2 linked regions of the Rhinolophus ferrumequinum genome follow. Each later gene encodes a partner of the first gene's protein in a complex. Links are inferred from orthologs where the notes say so. Each region holds a gene or a part of one and is shown on either strand. Other genes may lie near its edges.

What was found. The genes of interacting proteins can lie anywhere in the genome.
Region 2: MED1 (region 1) and MED4 share a complex: the UniProt entries of both Homo sapiens proteins name them as parts of the mediator complex. The link is inferred for Rhinolophus ferrumequinum from reciprocal best matches to the Homo sapiens genes MED1 and MED4.

The regions. Positions count from the first base shown.
Region 1 is NC_046304.1:36,119,210-36,129,837, reverse strand, and holds the start of MED1 (mediator of RNA polymerase II transcription subunit 1), read left to right. Parts: upstream 1-5,733; 5' UTR 5,734-5,936; coding exon 5,937-5,961; intron 5,962-8,109; coding exon 8,110-8,216; intron 8,217-10,628. Other genes in the region: CDK12 (cyclin-dependent kinase 12), read right to left, coding at 1-53. UniProt on the Homo sapiens protein: Component of the Mediator complex, a coactivator involved in the regulated transcription of nearly all RNA polymerase II-dependent genes.
Region 2 is NC_046287.1:89,285,163-89,296,631, reverse strand, and holds the start of MED4 (mediator of RNA polymerase II transcription subunit 4), read right to left. Parts: upstream 4,177-11,469; 5' UTR 4,106-4,176; coding exon 3,981-4,105; intron 1-3,980. UniProt on the Homo sapiens protein: Component of the Mediator complex, a coactivator involved in the regulated transcription of nearly all RNA polymerase II-dependent genes.

The DNA of each region.
Region 1 (10,628 bases):
GAAGCTCCTCCACTCCCGTCCTTCTTGCCCCCATGTCTCTCTGGATTGGGCATTCCCTTTCCCCTGGCCTCAAAAAGGGGAAAAAGTTCCCCAGCACTCCAAAAAGTAACCCCCACCCTCCCCCCCAACCCCAACCCCACGCCTACCAAAGCGCCCCTAGAAGGGGGTGGGGAGGGAAAGGACGGTAGCACAGGCTCCTCCTCCCTCCCGACTTCTCAGCACCCTCCTACATGAGGTAGGGGGTGAAGAAGCCAGGGAAGAAATGAGAGTTCCTCAGCAGTGGAGTTGCGAGACAACGGGCAGCTGCTCGAGTCTGTTTGCCCTCCTCCCCCCGCCGAGCCAGTCCTCAAGCCCGGAGGCCGGGAAGGTCGAGGAAGTAGGAAGCCGACGGCCCGGGGCTGTGGGGCCGACTCCGGCTCTGGGGCCCTGTAAGGACTGCGCGGGCCCTTCCCCTACCCGGTAGCCCGGCTCGGGGCGGCTTCCGGTCGCTGGGGTCCCGCGGCCCCACGCCCCCTTTGTCCCTCGCTTCTGAGGGAGCCCCTTTTCTTGCCTCCGCCTCACCTCAATACCTCACACACTCACTCGCTCCCTCACAGACTCCCAGTCACACACTAGGTTAAACCGAAACGGTACTTGAGGGAGGGGGGAGGGGACAATCCCAAAAACTCTCGCGAGAATCCACTAAGCTCGCGGTATTTCGCGCTTCCTTTCCACCTCTCACTGCTTTATCAAACAACGCGAGAACAGGTCCTGAGCACAAAACACGATCCGTCATATTCTCGCGATATGCTCCTCACTCAATTTGATCAAAGCTTGATTGAAACGGAGCAAGAAGGTTCTTTTAATTCAAAACTTTATTGATAATTCATTGAACAAATATTTTCAGGCTTTGGCGGAAACTAATTTTTGCATACTTTATAACTACCGGGATGAAAATATTGTCAACAGAACAAAGGGCGAATGTAAGGACATTTCAACCTAATTCCCTAAGTATTAACAATGCTTATCATTTATATAGAGTACAATACGTGCATTATCTGTAATTCTCGTACGTACTATGGCCCAAACAGGATATCCTCATCCCTGTTTTACAGATAAGGAAACCCAGACTCAGAGAAGTTAAATAACTTACCCAGGGTAACAAAGCTAGTCCAGCAAGTGCCAAAGAAGAGATTCAAATTCCTGTCTGACACAAAAGCACAAGCTCTTAAGCTTGTGTGGCATTCTTTCCTGTCTGCTTAACAATCTAAGAACCTGAAAGTTCATCACCTCTTGGGATCACGTACAGCTCTTCTGGAATTATTTAGCCTTTTATTGTCACACATTATAATTATGAACAAGAAAAACATAATACTAATAACCTTGAAAAAATAGTATCTTACACTGCCCCTCATTTTTTACTTTTCAGAACTCCTTCGCATACATTAACTCATCCCATCACAACAATCCTACAAAATAGGGTTGTGAGAGGAAACTAAGGCACAGAGAAGTTAAGTGACTTGTCCACGCTTCATTCTTTTCTTCAACACATGTATATGTGAGATTTTAAGGCCCTTCTCTGTGTTGTATTACCCACCCAGGGCACTCAAATAGGATAATGATAATATATTCATACCACAAGATACAAGGTAATAAATGTCACAGAAATGATACAGAGCACTGAGGATGTTCAAAATGAGGTTGGGAGTGTTAAGAGAAAGCTTTATAAAAGGGCATTTCAGTTGGGCCAGAAAGAGTAAATAGGATTTGTATATGCAAAGATGGGAAGATCAACCAGTAAATTAGGAGTCAGAAAACATTCTGAATGAAGGTAGAAGAATCCACTTTCAAAATCATTCCCTGAAAATGTTCCTGTTGCTTTGGTTACATGGGTACTAATAAAAAGTTTTTACTTGAACGTTTAAGTCCATAAATCTTGAATACAAATGAAAAAGACCAAGCTTTTCATATCAACTTTTTAATTATCTATGGAAATAGCAAAATTAATGCTATCAAGAAAAAAGAAAAAAAATAGAGGATAGAATTAAGTACTGAAACTCAGGTGTGGTATCTCCCCAACATTGCTGCAAGAGGGCCTGGATGTAAAGGTTCCCCCAAGTGTCTGACATGATGGCAGCTGGCATGAGACTAAATAGGCCAATTAGATGTGACTGGCCCACCTTATTAAATATTGGTCTGAGTTCAGCAAAACTACTCTGATTTTTTTTCTAACTTTTAATTGAGATGAAGGTTTTGACCCAGATACACCCACATTCATAGTAAAATGGAAAAGTGGAAGGAATCATGGTCATGTGTCAAATAAAATCTTGAAAAAGAAAATCATCCAAATTAAACAGCATTATTTATAGTTATAAAGATTAATTATCTGTTGCCTATTGAAGCAGACTAGAGATCCCTAATGAATAAATTAAGCTTTTTCTGAATTTTTATAATCTCTTATATTTCTGTAGCACTTTTTAATTTTCTACAAGACTCGTTTAAGTCTGTCAATAAATATCAGCTGAACAAGGAAATAACCTGGTGAGGTGGCCAGGATGGGTGTTATATGCATCTACTAATGGATGAAACAGACTCAGAAGGAATTGGAGCTTGTTTACACCAAGACTAGTTAGTGCCAGAAACAGGGACAGCTCTCTTTCTTTAAACCTAGGCTAATACTCTATTGCACTAAACTTTCTCCTTTTGGTGGATAAAATTCTGCTCTAATGTAATTATATCTCAATACAGCTGGGAAAAAATCTATTCTAGGAAATCTCAGATTCTGTTTAAATTTTAAAATACAAAATCTACTCTAAACTACACACACTGATTGGCCCAACAACTGGTGAGAATAGTGCTTTTGTGTAAGTGTTGCTTCACTCTACAGAAAACTTTGAACTGAGAAATTCCAAAACTGCTTGATTTGCTTTATTTGCATGACCTGTCAGGGCAGGGAGTCAGGGCAACTGTATGAACCTCAAGATGATCAGTCAGGTGATGATTACACTTTCCCTGTAAATTCCCACAGCAGGTCAGAAAGCTTCTCTTTAGCCTGTACACAAGAGAAAATATTTAAAGTTACAGTAACTTCTTATCCCCACACAGACCAATTTGTTAGTTTAGATTTTAGGTTTAAAGAGTTTAGTCTCCCTCAAAGCTTAGTCATTTAAAATGTACGCATTGTCTTCTTCTTGCCACGTAGGAAGATTGTTCCTATGTGCACCTTTTATGCTTTTTTGTATTGAATGGTATCTTTTACTTGAGTACAAATTTTACATGTCATTTCAGATGAGAAATGATAACTTCTATTCTGTGACCAAAATTTGGTCAAGTTTACTCTATTTTCAAGCTTTATAAGGTTTAAAATTTTCTAGCTACACTTAATACAGACATTATTGTTTATCTGTACAGAGAGTTTCCATGAGGAAGTATAGCTGTGTATCTAACGTTAATACTTTGGGCATAATAATAAATTAACAAAAATTCTTTTGAGTACCCATGAATATAGTAACCAATCAGATTTTCAGAACTCTAAATCAAATGAGTCAAATAAGGGTTGGGGCTGCTTTTTCATGTTTATATTACTAGTTCCTAATACACAAGTATTAGGACTCCATAGATGCTTGTTGAATGAAGAGCACTTTGACAACAGAAAAGGAAACGGAATTTTAAATATGAATTATCTTTGAAAATTCTCACTTCGATAAATGCTCTCTGTACTTCATCAATTTTAAGGTTATTAGATTTACATTATATAATAATTTTGGAACATACTTTTATACTAAAAAATATTTGTTGATTTTCTGAAATTCAAATTTAAGTGTTTTGTTATTTTATCTGGAGACCCTCTCTATTTATCCCAACAATATGTATTGAGTCTCTGACTTGTGTCAGGAGCTGGGCTTGGCAATGTCAGTAGATAGCAGTGAAAGAAACAGACCCAGTGCAAGCCTTCCTGGAGTTGACAGTCCAGGAGGGAAGACAGGCATTGAACAAATTATGGACTTAATTAATTTTGATGGTTTAAGTATTATTAAAGAGATAATATAACAGGGGACCTGATTAAGTCAGGGGTTAGAAAAGGCTTGCTTCTCTGCTCTAGAGGAAGAGACATTTAAATTGAAATCTGAATAAGAGGGTCTTAGTGAGGTGAAGACAGCAGAGGAGGCCCTCCTAGCAGTTAAGGAGAGGAGTGTAGGAATTTTCTGCACATAAAAGAAGGCGAATGTGGCTGGGGGAATTGGCAAGGGGAGCAGAGCTGGGTCTAGCAAGGCTTTGCAAGCCCAGTAAAAGATTTGCCTAACTAAGCCTAGGTACAGTGCTAGATAATGGGGTCCTAAAAATGAGGGGAAATTCCTGCCCCAAGAAACTGTGTAGTGACTCAAAGGAATGGGGTAAGAGGAATAGACAAGCAATACATCTGAATTCTACTTTCAAGGAGCATGGTTATATATAACTTTGTGGTGACAAACATGTTTCCAGACATTTCCAGATTTATTCTCAATAAATTTACGCTGCTGTGCCTGCTCACCTGAACTGTAGTTATCTGCTGGCATGGCTTTAGGAGAACGTTTGCTTAACATTTTTGAAATGTACCGTGTTTCCCCCAAAATAAGACCTAGCCAGACCATCGGACAATCAGCTCTAATGCGTCTTTTAGAGCAAAAATTAATATAAGACCCAGTCTTATTTTACTATAAGATCAGGTCTTTATAATATAATATGATATGATATATGATATGATAAACATAATATGATATAATACCAGGTCTTATATTAATTTTTGCTCCAAAAGACACATTAGAGCTGTTTGTTCGGCTAGGTCTTATTTTCAGAGAAATAGGATAGGTAAAGTCTGAGATGTGGCTAGTAGAAATCCATTCTTAATATATTTGCCACAAACTAGGTAAAAATCAAACTTTTCACCAGTTATTTTCAAGGATTTGTATGGAAAAAGAACTTAAAAAAAAAAAGTAACCTTAACTATGTTAAGAACTTTTACCCAGTGTTAGCACTATTGTATTTTAGCCTGGTTCTTCAGTTCCAGTGGCCATGAACTTCTCGGCATCACTCCAAATTTCTCTTTATGAGGACTTATTGATACAAGAAATATGATTACACATTGTGACTTGTGGTGCAGAATACAAACTAAACTGCTTGTTTTCACTACGATTACAAAAAAGGACACAATCAATTATGAACACCTTTGGGACCCTAAGTATAATTAATAACATCTTATGCTATAAGGTTGAAAACAAGTTTACCTTAATCCAAAATCTCCTAGATCTTCAAAAATACTGTAATTGCTCAAAAAATACTTCTGAAATTAAAAAAAAAAAAAAAGGAAATGGGAATTAAGTGTACTGGACTGGGGTGGAACGTCGTGTTACAAAGGGCCAATATCTTTTTTATGGCATAATTATTCCATCTAGTATCCCAAGAAAGCGTATTATCTTTAATAAAACATCTCTAATACCAATATTCTTCGAAAACTTAGTCTTTCAGTAAAGAGAGCCGGGGATTTTAATTTGCGAACTGCTTAAATGCCAAAATGAAATGCCGGTTTCATAAGAGGAACCGATCACAACCAACGGGAAAGTACCATACCTACCGCAGTAAACCTAAGATAACCTAAAGCCACGAGAAAGCTATGTTGGGAGAATCTCGCGAGAAGTACCGCATTAACCATTTTTCGCGATAGTTTGGTGCCCAGCCCTTTTCCTCTCTCGCAGGATCACGGTTAATCTCGCGATCTTTGGGAAGTTCCGTTGAGGAAGATGGCGGCGGCCGCGAGCACCCTTCTCTTCTTGCCGCCAGGGACTTCAGACTGAACCTTCCCGGGAAGAGTGGGGACTGCTGGTGCCCCGCGTCCCGGGAGCCCGAACCAACTTGATTCCGCCGGTATTGGTGGGGAAGGGCTTATCCTCTTGTGTAGGACTCAGGCCTTCCCCGTCAGGATGAAGGCTCAGGGGGAAACCGAGGGTGAGTGACTGAAGGGGAAAGCAGGGGGCGGGACACAGCTGGGGAAGCCAATCTGTGAGAGGAGCTGGGGGTCCGATGCCTTCGCCGGGGCCACTCTCCCGACGGCGCCGAGTCCCGAAGGCGGGATTTGTGTGAGTTTCAGATTCTGACTGTGCCTTCCCTGGTGATCCAAAGCTCCGACTTTGGGGTGATGGGGGCTCCCAACTTCTGTGAAGGTTTCCTGTTGAGATAGGGGCAATCATTTGGGCCTCAGGACATTTTTATCCTAAAGTTATGGGAGACCAGGCGAGTGAATCTAATACCTGCTTACACCTCTGTTCCAGAAGAGACATCTGAATAAATGACATAATAATAAGAGCTATTCGTTCAAGTACTGGAGGATGTTTTGGCATGAATGAAATGATTAGGTCCTTATGATATTAAAAGCCAACAGTTCCCTAGAATGTCAGTGTTCAGATCTTGTGCTATTGTATATTTTTTTAAAAAGGCGTTGAACTTCATTCTTTCAATGGCTGGGCTAACTCAGAACTGCTGGAAAACAACTTTTCTATGGAATCTTACTTAATTTTCTAAAGTTCTACACTCCAGTTTAAATGCTTCTTTAGCATTTTGGACATAGTTGTAGTAATACAGTTCACTGTATTTTTCACTTGTCTTCTCCACTTTACTCTGAGCTTCGTATTATAGAATAGGGACTTTGCCTTACTCATCATTCATTGTATAGTCGCTGGCACATAAGTAGTTGCTCAAAAAAAAGTTTGATTTGAGCATTCATATAAAGATATGTATCAGGCTTCTCAAGAAAAGAATGGGGAATGTGTTTTGAAGGAGAGGAAGAAGGTTTACTCTTTGGGTGCAGAGGAATGACAGTGTAAAATGGAAACTCAATGAGGCAGGAATCTTGTCTAGTTTGCTCACTGCTGTATCCCCAGCACGTAAAATAGTGCTTGAGTGAATGAGTCTTGAAAGTGGGAATAGCCAGAAATGTGTCCAGAACTGTAAACTGGCTGCAACAGCTCAAAAACCAGTTTTTTGGATGAGGAAATTGGAGGAAGGAGTTTGAATTTTGATTTAGAAGGTGTCACTGCCTCAACTCTGATTTCTGATATTCTGTTGGTCTTTCAATGACACCTTTTCTGTAACATCCCTGCAACTAACTTTTTCTCCTTTGAATTTCAATTAATAATGTGCGTCTGTTTTTAAGAGCATATCCCATTTTGCTTTGTTTGAGGTTATTTCCACATAAACTTATCCAGACCCCTTCACACATGTCATTTCAGGGATATTGTGTGTTTTTGCATTGCCAGTGGTCTCTACCATGTTTCCCTGAAAATAAGACCTAACCGGAAAATAAGCCCTAGCATGATTTTTCAGGATGACATCCCCTGAACATAAGCCCTAATGCGTCTTTTGGAGCAAAAATTAATACAAGACCCAGTCTAATTTTCAGGGAAACACGGTATTACAGGTCCTTGCTCATTCTAAGCAGTAGAAGAATTAGAGGAGGGTTTAAAGGCATAGGAGTTTCGTTCACACAGTTCAGGAGCCAGTTTTTTCTACTTTTCTCTTACCTCTGCTGGAAACTCATCCTTTAGACATTTACCTCTTCCCTGTCCATATAGATTTAGTTTGAATTCAAATAGGAGAAATCTGAATGACAAAGCATGTTTTCTTGATAATACTTAGAAATTGATCTCTTAAAATTATGTAAAAAATTAAGAAAGTCTGTATTTTCACATTGAAAATCAATTAACCATAGTAAGGCCATGTTCAAATATATACTCTATATGTATCACGCAAGGGATTTCATGCATATCATGAAATGATTTTGCCACTAAATTGTAGTCTTGATCCTGAAACATGATTAGAGATGAGGTTTTTTGTTGTTGTTTGTTTGTGTGTTTTTTTGGTTCCCATTCAAAGTTTGAATAGAAAGCAGTTCCAGTCTATGGTATTTATTAGATTAGACTCATAATTTGTGTGTCTTCTTGTCATTAAAAATAAATTCTTTGTATGTTTCCAAGTAAATGATACTGAAAAATATTTTAACTAAGTTCTTACCAGGATCATGTATGGGGATTTCATTTGCAAGAAAAACTGGAAGTTCTTGAAAGAGTTTCTAACGATGTCTTCTGATTCATATTGTAGAATCGGAAAAGCTGAGTAAGATGAGTTCTCTCTTGGAACGGCTCCATGCAAAATTTAACCAAAATAGACCTTGGAGTGAAACCTTTAAGCTTGTGCGTCAAGTCATGGTGAGTGAGGATTGTGGTGTGTGCTTAGATAATTATTTAATAAGCTCAGCTTCCTGTGTAGACTTTTCCAAACTAGTTGTTATAGTGTGTCTTTAATTTTATTTATCATAAAGTTGATAGCCACCCCTACCCAGGTGTTTTAAGAGTCTACTTAAGGAGATATATTTATAAAATTGTGTTAATCATGAGTTATAGTGCACTGGTGTACTGTAGGCAAAGGTGCTAAGAAATACACCAATAAGAGACACACATGATAGACTGGTATAGAGACATTTATTGTTCACTTCTTGTCAAGCTCCTTGTTACTAATGTAATAGTATTTACATTGCGTCTATGCTGGGAGTAGAGTTTGCAGTTCATTCTGAATTAGTTTCACCTTTTCACTCTGTCAGCCTTTTTCCACAGTACTGCTCCTTCCTGAGTCATTCAACAGTATGGTGAGCTCTTAGTTAAGTGGACGACGGGGTTGAGCATGGCTGGATGTTAAACGTTCATCCATATGATTCCACTGGTGGTCAAGTGATACAGGAAAACTTGACTTCTACTTACCTGGGCAATGGTTATATGGGTGTGTTTACTTTGTGATAATCATGGATCTCTTCATTTAAGATTAATACGCTTTTCTGTATATATGCTCTACTTCAATGGAAGTACCCCCTCCTCCTCACCAAATCTTACTTTGGGTTCAGAGTAAGTTCAGTTTAGTAGGTTTATTAGTGTTTAAATGATCATATCAGTATAGCACTAGCAAAATAACTGAATTTGCTGTCAAAATACCTGTATTTTAGGCTTGACGTCAGTGCTTACTACTTATGTTCCCTTGGACAAATTATTTACTATCTCTGAGTTTCAGTTTTCTTATCTGGAAAGTAAAGGCACACAATACCAGTTTGCTTTTCCACATACATTAAGTCCTTACTTAACGTTGATAGGTTCTTAGAAACTGCAACTTTAAGCGAAACGATGTATAACGAAATCAATATTACCATAAGCTAATTGATATACACAAAAGTTAAGTTCCTATGGTATATTTCTGGGCACAAAAACATCACCAAATTTCTAAATAAAGACCCAAAACACTTCTAATATTAAACATTGAAATAAATGTGAGCATACATACATTTAAGAAATATTAATAAAAGCAAGTAAGATAATTATGTTCCATCCTGCCTATTCCCAGTTCAGGGTCTTGGGTGGCCAGAGCCTATCCTGGAAGCTCAGGGCAAAATGTGGGAACCCACCCTGGACAGAATGCCATTCTATCGCAGGGTGTACTCACACACACACTCATACTCATATTTACTCATACTGGGACAATTTAGACATGGCAATTAACCTAACATGCATATCTTTGGGACATGGGAGAAAACTGGAGTGCCCAGAGAAAACCTACATAGACATGAGGAGAATATACAAACTCCACACAGACAATGGCTCTGGCCAGGAATCGATTTTTGTTTTCTCATCAACATGTTTTCTCATGAAGCGAAGTTATTCGAGGACCTACTGCAATTCTGTTGTAAGGATCAAATCAGATAATGGATATCAAAGTGTCATGTTGCTAAAAGATTTCTGTAACTGTAAATTCTACAAATGTATACTCGTATGTATCTTCTGGCTTAGGATTGTGTACATAAAAGGAATTAAAATCTTAAATAGAAGAATGGCAATTTTTCCAGTCTGGGAATTTAGAGGTTGTCATTTTTATAGCACAAGGCAGCCATATTCTAGTTTGAAATATGTTCTATAAATGATATTGTCAGAGAGAAATCATGAGGTGAAGGAATTTCAGGTGGCTACTTAGACCCTTTCTTGAGGTACCAGTGTCTGTCTTTGGTCACCATAACATCCATTGTCTCTCACTTTTGGAGATTCAAAAACCGAATTTTATTGGTATATGAAGACTTTGAAGAGTTTTCAACAACTGATATACTAACAAAATCTCAGTAGATTAACATGTAAATCATAATGCCAATTTTATCGATTTACAACACAGGGTTTATCTTTCCAATTAACAAAATACTGGTATCCATTGTCCAGAGCACCCCCTTGTCTATTCAAGGTAGAAAGGAAGCCAGATTATTGATTAATCAGATGTTTGTTTTGTGAGGGTGGAATTAGAGCAAAGAGAGATGGATTTAGGGCATGGGACAGCCTGAAAAACTATCCTGTGTCATAAAACTGTTCACATTTCTGGGGACTAAAATGTTGTGCAGAGAAAAAAGTTCTTCCCTGGATAGGGTTAGAAAAACTATGCCCAAGCTTTTACTCTTTGGGAGTCTCTTTTCTGGGCTACATATTCTGTTTCTTAGAGTCAATCTAATCTGACTGCAGTCTGGTTGTATTTCTTAGATTCCATGCAAATCACGTGGTTAGATTTGGGAATTGCCAATGGGTGGTTAGATTTGGGAA
Region 2 (11,469 bases), on another chromosome or scaffold:
TGTGTGGGTTATACAAGTAAACAATGGCACTTAAATTCTAACACAGGTGACAAGAATAACAAACAATAAAATACAAAAATAAACCCAGAGTTAAAAGTTATAAGCGAATTTTCGACTGCATGGGGAATGGGTGCCTCTAACCCTTGCCTTGTTCAAGGGTCAACTGTATCGCACCTCAGGTAAATTAGAGGTAAACAGAATTAATAGACTGGTGTGGAAATCTCAAGATTCCTATCAACAGGGTTTCTGTGGGGCAATGAGTTCTGAGTTATTATACGAACAGGTTAAGAAAAACTTTTTGACTACAATCTATCTGTAAGTTTTCATTTTTAAAATTCCTCCAAAGACTACCTTATTCTGTCACGTTTTACAAAGTAATAAATATACTGAAAAGCTATATAATCAGGTTAACAGTAAAAATTATATTCCAAATTTCAAAGCTACTATTTTGAAAAGTCAGAGGTTACATTAGTGAGGAATTTTTCTTTTCATTTTTCATTAAAAATGTAATGTAATGAGAAGTTTCATTTACAGGATAATGACAAACTTCACAGATCACAGAATCAGTATATGCACTATGGGCACATAATACAACTTTTTTGAAAGCCAATTACACTGGAGTAGCGTCATTCTATGGAGAAGTTTCAATCAGTCTTAGGTGGCAAACCACCAAGACTCTTGTCCACCACCACCTCCAGGATAATAAAAGAGGTAAATTTTCACTTACCTACTGTCACCTACAGTCTTTCTTTAGACATGAACAAATAAAACAGCATGGCAGATAAGTCATGAGAAAAATCAGAAAAAGAAAAATGAACTTCTAAGACAATGGTTATTACCGAAGCCTACAGAAAGAAAGAAGCCTATCACCAATTTATCAATAGATTCAGTGAGGAAGACTACAAATAACAAATCGGTCTTTTCGGCATTCCTGGAAAGAGAGCAACAGAGGAATTACAGCTTCTTTTAGAGGAAGCAAAAGAGGACTCAGTACCTCAACTGTTCATGTACAACTGAAAAGCTGAAAGAGAAAGTTTCACAAATATTGAGGTTCTTCAGGAAAATTTAAATGATGATTCATTACTTCAGTGAATAAATACATTTCACACAGAAAATGCTATATACTTGATAATCAAGGAAAGAATCAAATACAAAGAGGAATAAACTGGTCAAATCTGGATATATGAGAATTTCAATTTAGTCTCAAATTTAACATAACATAAATTAGTTATGTTATCTCAAGTGGAGAGTACATGAATATCAATTATATGCACTCCTACACGTACCAACAGCATCTGGAAAACACACCTCAGATACACAGCCCACTGCCACAGCGATCCACAGGCAAGAACTCAAGATTGACCGCTGGGTTGTCTAAGGTCAGAAGAAATTCTCCAAGACCATTAGTCTGGTAAGTAGACTCAGAAACAATTCCTGAACTTAGTAAACATGAAATATAAAATACACTAGGGTTACTCAGAAAAACAGACCAACAAATTATATTACAGCAAGTAAAACTCAAAAATAAATCAATTTACTGGGCTCCAGAGCAGAAGGGTGAGACACTGAATATACTCAATGAATACGCTAAGGCAAAGATTTGAAATTCTAAGACTAAGAAGTACTCAGAACAAAAGGCAGCAGTCACTACTTCCCAAAGGGGGTGTCACGTCTTTATAAAGTCAACATATTTACAGAAAAATTAATCACTACCATCCATTCCATATGCTTGGTCAAAATGAATAAATAATAAGAAACATTTTAACTCAATTTCGTACGTGACAGTATCATCAAGATTCCTTTGCAAAGACGTTAGAAGCCAGTCAAGCATTAGACTTGGCCGTCAGGTGAGCAGTCTCCCCAAAGAAGATATAGCTCAACGGACCATTTCAAATAGAACACGATCCAGAATTTAAGGAAGTGGAAAAATCACCTCAAACAGGAGCAACAGAGGTATTTTCCAATTAATCATTAGTTGCTCTGAATCTAATGGAACACAAATTTACATCAGAATTACATGGCTGCCTATTCAAGGTACTTCAAAGTACTCAGAGACCCAGTTTGGATGACCAGTGATTCTAAAAGCAGGTAGGTTGAATGCATTGTTCTGCAAATGACAGTTGGCCCTATTTAGAAAAGTAGTGGGCTAGTCAGTGTGTATGGGATGTTAACTTGGTGTTTAAGAACTTAAAAAGAATAAGTCCTGAACGTGAACTAAATGAAGCTTCAACTAGCTGTCCCCAAGAGTCATGTTACACAGAGCAGAGACATAAATAATTGAACGAAAAACTTATCGTGAAAACGCTGTCTTGTTAGTGTCTTTTTACTAAGAAATCATGCTGGTATTCATTGACAGGATTAACTGAAAAAGGAAACTGACAAGGTTTCTGACAGGAACTACAAAACCAACAAAAACAGAAGAAAATAGCGTTTACATTCATCTGTGTAAACATTTACACAGAGGCAACACATTAAGGCAGCTGCCTTATGCCTCTGAGTTTCTTGTTCACTGTACTGACTGCTGGTTGTCTGTAGATTCCACGTGCTCTATTTGTAGTCAGGCAGCATTTGAGTCTAATAGTCTAAACAGTGGATTAAACCCATAAACTATTTAACTTCTGGTGTGTGTTTTTATTACATCACTTAATATCATGCTGACCTACTCATCTGGTAAGTAATGCATGCCATAGCAAGGACTAAATTCACAGCAGATAAAATGCTGACCATTAGTAGGGTCAGGTAACATAACTGTCCAAGAGTGTTGGCTACAGAAAAGATGACATTTAAACTGGATTCTGAAGGATGAATGAATGATTCATCAAGTTGGAGGTGGAGTGGGAATGGCACTAAAGATGAGGAAGTAGAACTTTAGAATAGAAAGCATTCACTGAGGCTGGAGTGAAGGGTAGGGAGGTCGGAGGGATGTGGATGTAAATGAGAACAAGAGGATGGATAAATTCAGAGGAAATGGAGAATGGCTTTATCCCACACTAAGCTAAAGAGTTTGGACTTTATCTCATCGGGCAATGGGAACCTACCAAATATTTTAAAGCAGAAAAGTAATTCGAGATGCCTCTTTAAAAGATAACCCTGTTCTTGGGCAAAATAGAATGATAACGTGAAGAAGACGCCCGTAGGCAACGCATTATTTAACAGTTAAGAATAGGATGTAAAACAGTGTGGATGAGAACAAGAGGTCCAATCTCAGCGACAGTTTAGGGGGAAGAACCCAAACAATTTTAACATCCAAGTGAATGTGAGGGAATTAAGGAAGCCTCCAACTTGACAGGCTATCATGAAAGATGACAGAATCCGGAGAATGACATCCAACTTCATCTCATACCTCTGCCATGCACACTGCACTCCAGCCGTCCCAAACCTGCCATTCCACCGCGTCGCGCGTGCTCAGGTTCCCAGGCCTTTGCTACCTGCCGCCTAGTGCATCTGGTGAACTCGTTCTTCCCAGGCAGTCCTTTCCCCAGGAAGCCTACTCTGATTACGACCAGGCCAGGCGCCTCGTCCCCCTGCTCTATTACAGTAGCGCGCAGCGCAAGCTTCTGATAAAAACCGGTTCCGCGCCTGTCATCTGTTTACACGTCTGTCCCCCTTGACAGCGAGTGGGCTCCTTCTCGCGGACATCTAGTCCCCCGCTCACTACCGTGTCCCTGCCCTTGACAGCCGGTAGTAGCTTTTTAAATGTTTCTAGAGTGTCCGTGGTCGAAGGGGCTCACACCAGGCGATCTCTATGGTCTGCTACGGTTCTGGCAGTCTTGGGGTTCCAGGGTCATTATTAAAACGTCCTCTGGCAGGGGGGTATGCGGGGGGGAGGGAATGCCGTCTGGAAGTCCCCGACGGCTGCGGACGCCACGTCCACGACAACCTCGCCGCTGTCTTTGGAAGTGAGCGCGGGGGTCACCCTCCCCGCGGAGCCCCTGGAACTAGCGCCAACCCTGAGGCAGGTCCTCAAGCGACGACATTACCTCGACAAGACCTCCAGATCTTCCAGCGCAGACAGCAGTCGCTCCCGCGTGCTGTTACCGCCCGCCGTTCCCGAGCTGCATCCCGGCCGCTCCTTCTCCTTCTCGCCGCTCGAAGACGCCGCCATGCTCCTCACGGGCACGCAGCCGGCGTCTGCGCAGCTGTGCGCTGGTGAGGAGAGGCGGGCTCGGGAGGCGGAAGGAAGCGTCACCGAGGAGGGGCAGAGAGGCCCGGTCACAGCGCCGCCTAGGGGCCTGGAGGTTCACTGCGGACGCCTGCGCCATCTGCTGGGCCAGAGAGGGCTTCTGCGATCCAACCCCAGCTGGCAGGCGCAACTGGGTCAGGTTCTACTGCACCTTCCATTCTGCAAGTTGGAATGGGAAGCTTCTGCTCAACGGATTTTAAGCTTTGAAGGAATTACGTAATGGCCTAACTCTTGTATCAGCTTCTTCGTGAAATGGGCGGGGTCTCATCAGTATTAAACTCTCTTTAGTTTTCATTTCCTTAACACTAATCCCACCCTACCGTTTGGCCTCTCAGGAGCTGTAAGCACCTTAGCACAGGAACCATAATCCATCTTTTTATTTTCCCCTGCTGTTTTTCTTTATTGTGGTAAAATACAGGTAACAAAATTTACAATGTTAACTGTATAAGTGCACATGTCAGTGATATTAAGTACATTCATATTGTTGTGCTACCATCACCACCATCCATCTCCAGAACTCTTTTCATCTTGTAAAACTGAAACCCTGTATTCATTAAACAACTCCCCATTCCTCCATACCCCTAGCGCCTGGGAAACACCATTCTACTTTCTTCCTCTGTGATTTTTGACTGCTCTAGGTATCCCATATAAATGGAATCATACAGTATTTGTCTTTTCATGACTGGCTTATTTCACTGAGCTTAATGTACTCTAGATTCATCCACATTGTAGCATATGTCAGAATTTCCTTCCTTTTTAAGGATAAATAATATTCCATTGTGTATATACACCACATTTTGCTCTGTTGCTGGACATTTGAGTTGCTTCCACATTTTCGTAATCCATCTTTATAATCATGTATCTCCCAACAAAATGTGTTGCTCATTGCTCAAGATGACTGTTGAACTGAATGAATCAACACAGTATGTAAGTGGTAGTTAATGAAAATAATTTAAATAATTGGTGTAGCACAAATTCCAAATCAGAACTGAGTATCAAAGCCAAAAATGTACCTTAGCCCACTTTTCTGGGGGAGAACAATGTAGTAGGGGACTTTCCTACCAGGAAAACCCAAAGCTATAACAGTATTGGGAATGGGAGTTCTGCATCGGGTCAAATTGCAGTTAGAAAAGATGAGATGGGGAGAGATCAGCTACAGACAACAGCTGGGAATGAGGCAGGAGTACGGTGGTCCCCTCATTCTAGCATCTTGTCCTCTGATCTGTCCTTCTGCTGGGTACCCAGAGCTGAGGATTCCCTCAGGGACTCATGCTAAATAAATTCATTCATAGCAACTGCTATATAATCCAGAATGCTGATTTATTCACTTACAATGAGCATGATTTTACTCATAGACAAACCTACACAGAAAGCCAAATTATCACCAAAGTGTTGCTTATAAACTTGGATCAGAACAAGTGAAGATAGATTTTTAAAAAAAGAATTAATGCAATCATCAGGATTTGCATCTTCATAGGGTAGGGATATTTGTTAAAGAGATTGGAATATTTGTGTTCATAGGTCAGGGTGCCTCCTCCCTGAGACAATGCAAAAGACTAGTGGACACTTTTGTTTTTTAACCATCCCCCACTTCTGCTCCTAACACCTTCTATTAATACAGTCTCAGGCAATGGAATAAATTAGATTTACCTTCTATTAATACAGTCTCAGGCAATGGAATAAATTAGACTTAAGCTTTCTTAGTTACAATTGTATTCTAAGCATGCCTCTCAGTAGCTCTAGTCAATAATATCTTATGTTACTTTTCCAAGGGCCTAAACTCCTGCCGTCTATGTGGGATTTGTTTACTCAACTCTCACAGGTTCACCTTGGGCCATAATTCTGGCAGGAAGAGAAGAGGCTCATATTAATGTAGCTTCCACATAAAAATTCTGGGAAGATTCTAATCAATTTAAAATGACCAATTATAGTCGCTACCTTACGGGCATTGAGGGGGTCAATGTACGGACACTATATGTGTTTTGTGAATTCTAGACCTCAAAGTTATTGCAAATTTATATGCACGTTGAATATTGTCTATAGACTGATAAAGTAATAGCATATCCTACAGATAAACTCTTCTGCAAACTGCAGATCTAGCTGTGATGAATAAAATATGAATTATTTATAATATAGTAATTAAATATGAATATTTTATATATTTTATTGTTATTATAATAACCAAATTCATGGTAACTTTGAGTGTATTTTCTCCATCTATAGATTCAAAAGGATAAGTACTACCTTCTTGTGAAATTTTATGTATTTAACCTGCTAGGCATAGTTCTTTCTAAGCACTTTAAAAAAAATGAACTCATTTCATTTTCATAACTCTCCCAGAGGTAAGTATTGTTATTATCTCTATGTTACAGATAATGAAGCTCGGAGGCTGAGACGTTAAGAGACTTTCCCAAGGTCCCACAGCTAGTAGGTGGCAAAACAGGGATTTAAACCCAGGGTCTCTCTCCAAGGTCTATGCTCTTAGCTACTGGTTATCCTGTCTCGTTTAAAGAAGGAAGTGTCTTCATTTACTGAAAAAAAGGTTGGGAACCTCTGGTCTAAAATATAAGCACTGTGAAATGCACAGTTTAGAATTCTGTGTAAAAAGCTACAAATGTTTGGTGTGGAGGTTTGAATGTGCAGCAAGAAACTCTACCAGGCCTGTTCCTAAGAGTCAGGAGAAGAGGTGGCTGCATATACTATGTCTTTTTTTTAAAGTCATTTTTTATTCTAATCAATATAGCACTCAAAGATAACTCAAAAGATAACAAAAATGTTCTCATTCTCCATTTCCCCAACCCCCATATCCTGTCATATCATTTTCCATAGCAGCAACCACATGCAACATTTTCAATTATTTCTTCTTTGCTTTGCTTCCATATTTTTACATAATATGCATATATTCTCTATGTCTATTGAACACTTTTAGAGATTTATTTCTGTCCCGGTATGATGAACAAAGATCTTATCTCTCTAACATATCCCATTCCCTTCCTCTATCCTCTCTATAGAAAAAATCCTTTTTTTTTTGTTAAATCCATAATCAATGCTTACATTATTGTACTCGTATTTACACATAACTATGTGATTGCCATTTGTTTGAGATGCCTAACCGACATCTCTGTAGAGATTTTAAAAATAAAATGGAATGGAACAGAAAATTTCTAAAACATCAAAGTGCATTATACTGCTTTGTAGACATTTTTTCAGTTATATATTTATGCATGTGTGTACTGAGACAAATATGAAATATATTTTTTACTGTGTATTAAAATAATCTGCAAGCATCAGAAAGTAGGAAGAATATCAACCCTAACTCTTAGAAAAACAACACTTTTTACGTGAAGGGCCCCAAAGGCAGAGTCTGTATAACTTGTATTGTGGGGGCAGAAAGTTAAAGCAAACCTGTACAAATACAGTGTTGCATTGAGGTGACTATCTGGGATGCCTTACATAGATGGATAGAGTTAGAGGCTAAATTGTATGCCGTCAAAATACTTACAGTGAAGTGCTAACCCTCAGGACTTCAGAATGTGACTGTATTTGGAGGTAGGGCCTTCAAAGAAGTGATTAAGTTAAGTAATAATAGCCTGAGGGCGGGCTCTGATCCAATCCCACTGATACCATTATAAGAAGAGGAGATTTGGACAGAAGATTTGAACACACTGAGGGATGTGGGCACACAGAGAAAATACCATGTGAGGATGCAGTGAGAAGGTGACCGTCTGCAAGCCAAGGAGAAAAGTCTCAGAAGAAACCAACCCAACACCTTGATTTTGGGCTTACAGCCTCTAGGACTGTGAGAAAATAAAGGTCTGTTGTTTAAACCACCCAGTCTCTGGTTTTTTATGTCAGCCCTAGCCAACTAATATGGAGGGGTTGTAAGTCAAAGGGTATTTGGAGATTTCTAAAATTGCCTTGCATAAATCTTTGACTTCCTTGCCCCTGTCTTGATTTGTCCTACTCTCTTGGCAAGATGACACCCTAGACTGAATGCAGCTTGCTTACTACATACCACATGCCTGTACAAATGCAACTGAAAATGGCTGCAGGAAAACACAAGCAAGTCAACTGGTTATACTTGAAATTCGTAACTCCAAACCCCAAACCCGCAGTGGGCCCTTGACGCTACTGGACAAACTGTATATCCTTGTTTAGACCCTCTTCACATTGTTGACCCAATTTCACACCATTTCCTTTCTCCAAACCACTCCTAACCACTCTCAACTTATAAGATCTTGCTTTCTAATTCACTGAGAAAAGAGGAGAAATCAGAAGAGAGGACTCGTACAGATTGCCACCACCACCACGTTTGCCCACGCATCAGCATTGCACCCACAGTTCTGCCAGCTACTGCGCATGAACTTCACCTGGCCAGAGTACATTCTCCCATAGTTCCATTCCCTTGCAAAGACACTGAACCAGCAGTTCACCCCATTTCCCATCTTACCAAGTTTTCATCCTCTACTCCTTCTCATCATCACGCCTGCTGCTATTTTTCTAATTTAAAAAAACCCCAGCCCCACTTTACTCACCAACAACTGCTCTACTTCTTTGCTGCCTTCTGCAGCAAAACACTTTCAAAGAATTATCTAAATATTTTGTTTCCAATTCTATTCCTTCCTTATACTGTTTCCAATTAGTTTTTCATTCTCACTTCCCCACCAAAACTCAGCTCGTAAAGGTCATCAAAAACCTCCATGCTGCTCACCGTTCCCTGTGTTTGGTCTCTCAGTGGCCCTGGACACATCAATCACCCCCTTCTCCTTGATAACACTTTCTTCCCTTGCTTTTTAGGATGCCAGACTCTCTTCACTTTTCTCTTCCCTCACTGGTTGGTCTCTTTTAATCTGTCTGGCTGGTTCCTCTTCTCAACCGTGACCTCTAAACAAAAGAGTGTTTTAGGGCCACTTCTTTATCCTCATCTCTATCTACACTCACTTTTGATCATTCATCTGGTCCAGTGGGTTTAAGTATAATCTGTAAACTGACTCCCAAATTATTTCCTACCCAGACCTATCCTCTGAATTCAGGCTTATATAGCCAACTTCTTCCCCAAGGATGTAAGCCCCATGAGGTGAGACTTTCTTATCTATTTTGCTCACTGGTGTAGTGCCAGAACACTGTCTGACAGAGTGGGCACCAATAACTATGATTGCATTTGTTGTTGATGGAGGTGCTGCAACCTCCTAAGACTCTGAAAACAACTACTAGGTTCTTTCACTTAGGTGTCTAAAGGACGTAAGCAAATTCCTGTTCTACGTCCCTCATCCACCCACACCACACTTCCTGCAGCCTCCCTCAACTCAGCTGATGGCAACTTCTTCAATTTCATTGTTCAGGCAAAAAAAAAAAAACCCCAAAAAACATGGGGTTATCCTTGACTCCTCTCCTGGTTTCTCATACATCACATCCAATCCATCGAGAAATCAAGATAGTTCTGCCTTCAGGCCAGAACACTTGTTCATTTCTCACTTTTCCTCTTCTAATTGCAGGTTCGCACCTCCATCATCTCTCACCTGCGTTTTCTGAAATTGCCATCTAACTGTTCTCTCTGCTTCTTCCCTGATATCTACAGACTATCCTCAACACAGCAGTCAGAGTTATCATCTTTAAAACTCAAGTTAGATCACGTTATTCGTCTAATCAAAGGTCTGCATGGCTCCCCATTCCACTCAGAGTACAAACCAAACACAATGAGGGGTGGCCGGTTAGCTCAGTTGGTAAGAGCGTGGTGCTAATAACACCATGATCGCCGGTTCAATCCCCGCATAGGCCACTGTGAGCTGTGCTCTCCTTAAACAAAAAAATCCCAAACACAGTGAGCTATGAGGCCTGCCATAATCTGACCTGGTATTACTTCTCTGACCTTCCTTTCTTTAATTTCCTTTGTTCACTCTGCTCCAGCCATTCTGGTTCTGAAGCACATCAGGACAACCCTGTCTAAGGGCCCCTCACACTGATTACTCTGTCTGCCTTTATCTATTGACCCCCAGATAGTCTCATGACTTATCTCTCACATCCTGCACTTCCTATTCCTTTCTCAAGGAGGCTCACCCTGGCCACCCTTTTACTACTGCAATCTGACCCCCACATTCCATTGCCTTTACTCTGCTCATTTTTTCTTCATAGCACTTATCATTTTCTAACATTCTAGGTAATTTAGTTGGTATGTGTTTTGCTAATTGTCTCCCCCTGAGTCCAGAATTTTTTGTCTTTTTGCTCACTGGAATAGCTCAGTGCTAAAACACTGACACAGAGTGGGAACCAATAACTATGATTGGATTTGTCACTGATGAGGTACTGAAATCACCAAAAACACTGAAAACAAACTGTAGATATCTAAAGTTTTCCCTCTAAACGGTAAAACCTTATTTTCAGTACTTGCGCTCCATATTCTCTTTGAGGATTCTCAAAAGTAATGCAAAACATTTATAACATTCGCAGCCAAAAATGGAATATTTTGCAGCTGTGGGAGAGGACTAAAACTTTCTTCTATCCTCAAGGTTCTTTTGGCTGTTCTTTCTCATGTCTATAATCAAATAGACATGAAGCAAATTAACAAGAGAAAATGACCAAATTTAAAAATAACCAAATTTAATACATATGTGTACATATGTATGGGAATCCTACATACTTGATATCCCACATGCATTAGAGGTTCAGAGACTGAAAGGGAACATAAGTGTCTAAGACATTCTGAGCTAGGGATGAGATAAGTTGCCTTGGGGGTTTCAAAGAGTTTTTGCAGAATGATAAGCAGATGTTTAGTAAAGAGATGTTTGTCCTGCCCTACAGACAGGTCAAAAGAGGTTATCTCTGATAACCTCCCACTATGAGCAAAGCCCCTAATTTAACTTCTAGGTAGTCAAGGGAGAGGTAGAAATTTCTCCTGAGCCTACAGTTAAAGCTGCCCTTAGCTCAAAACAATCTGCATACCACAGAAGCACATCTTGAGGCGACTATCTCTGAACCCCCACATAACATTGTGGTGGGCACTGTACCTCGTGAAGCCACTTTCCCCAACCAGTTCCCAAAGTAAGTTTGAAGGTACATGTTCAGGGTCAAATCCAGCAGGGCTGTAGGCTGAGTCATACTCAGGCATTTTTCTCCTAGTAGTCAGGCAGTGAGAAAAGAAAAAAGCCCACTGCATTTATTAACTCTCTTCTTCAAGAAGCAAAAACCTTGAGACTGTACCTCAATGCACAGGCCTCAGAGTTCCCCAAGCTTAGCTAAAAATAACACTCAATTCAGGATCAAGTTCTGATGCTCCGATATCAAGAATC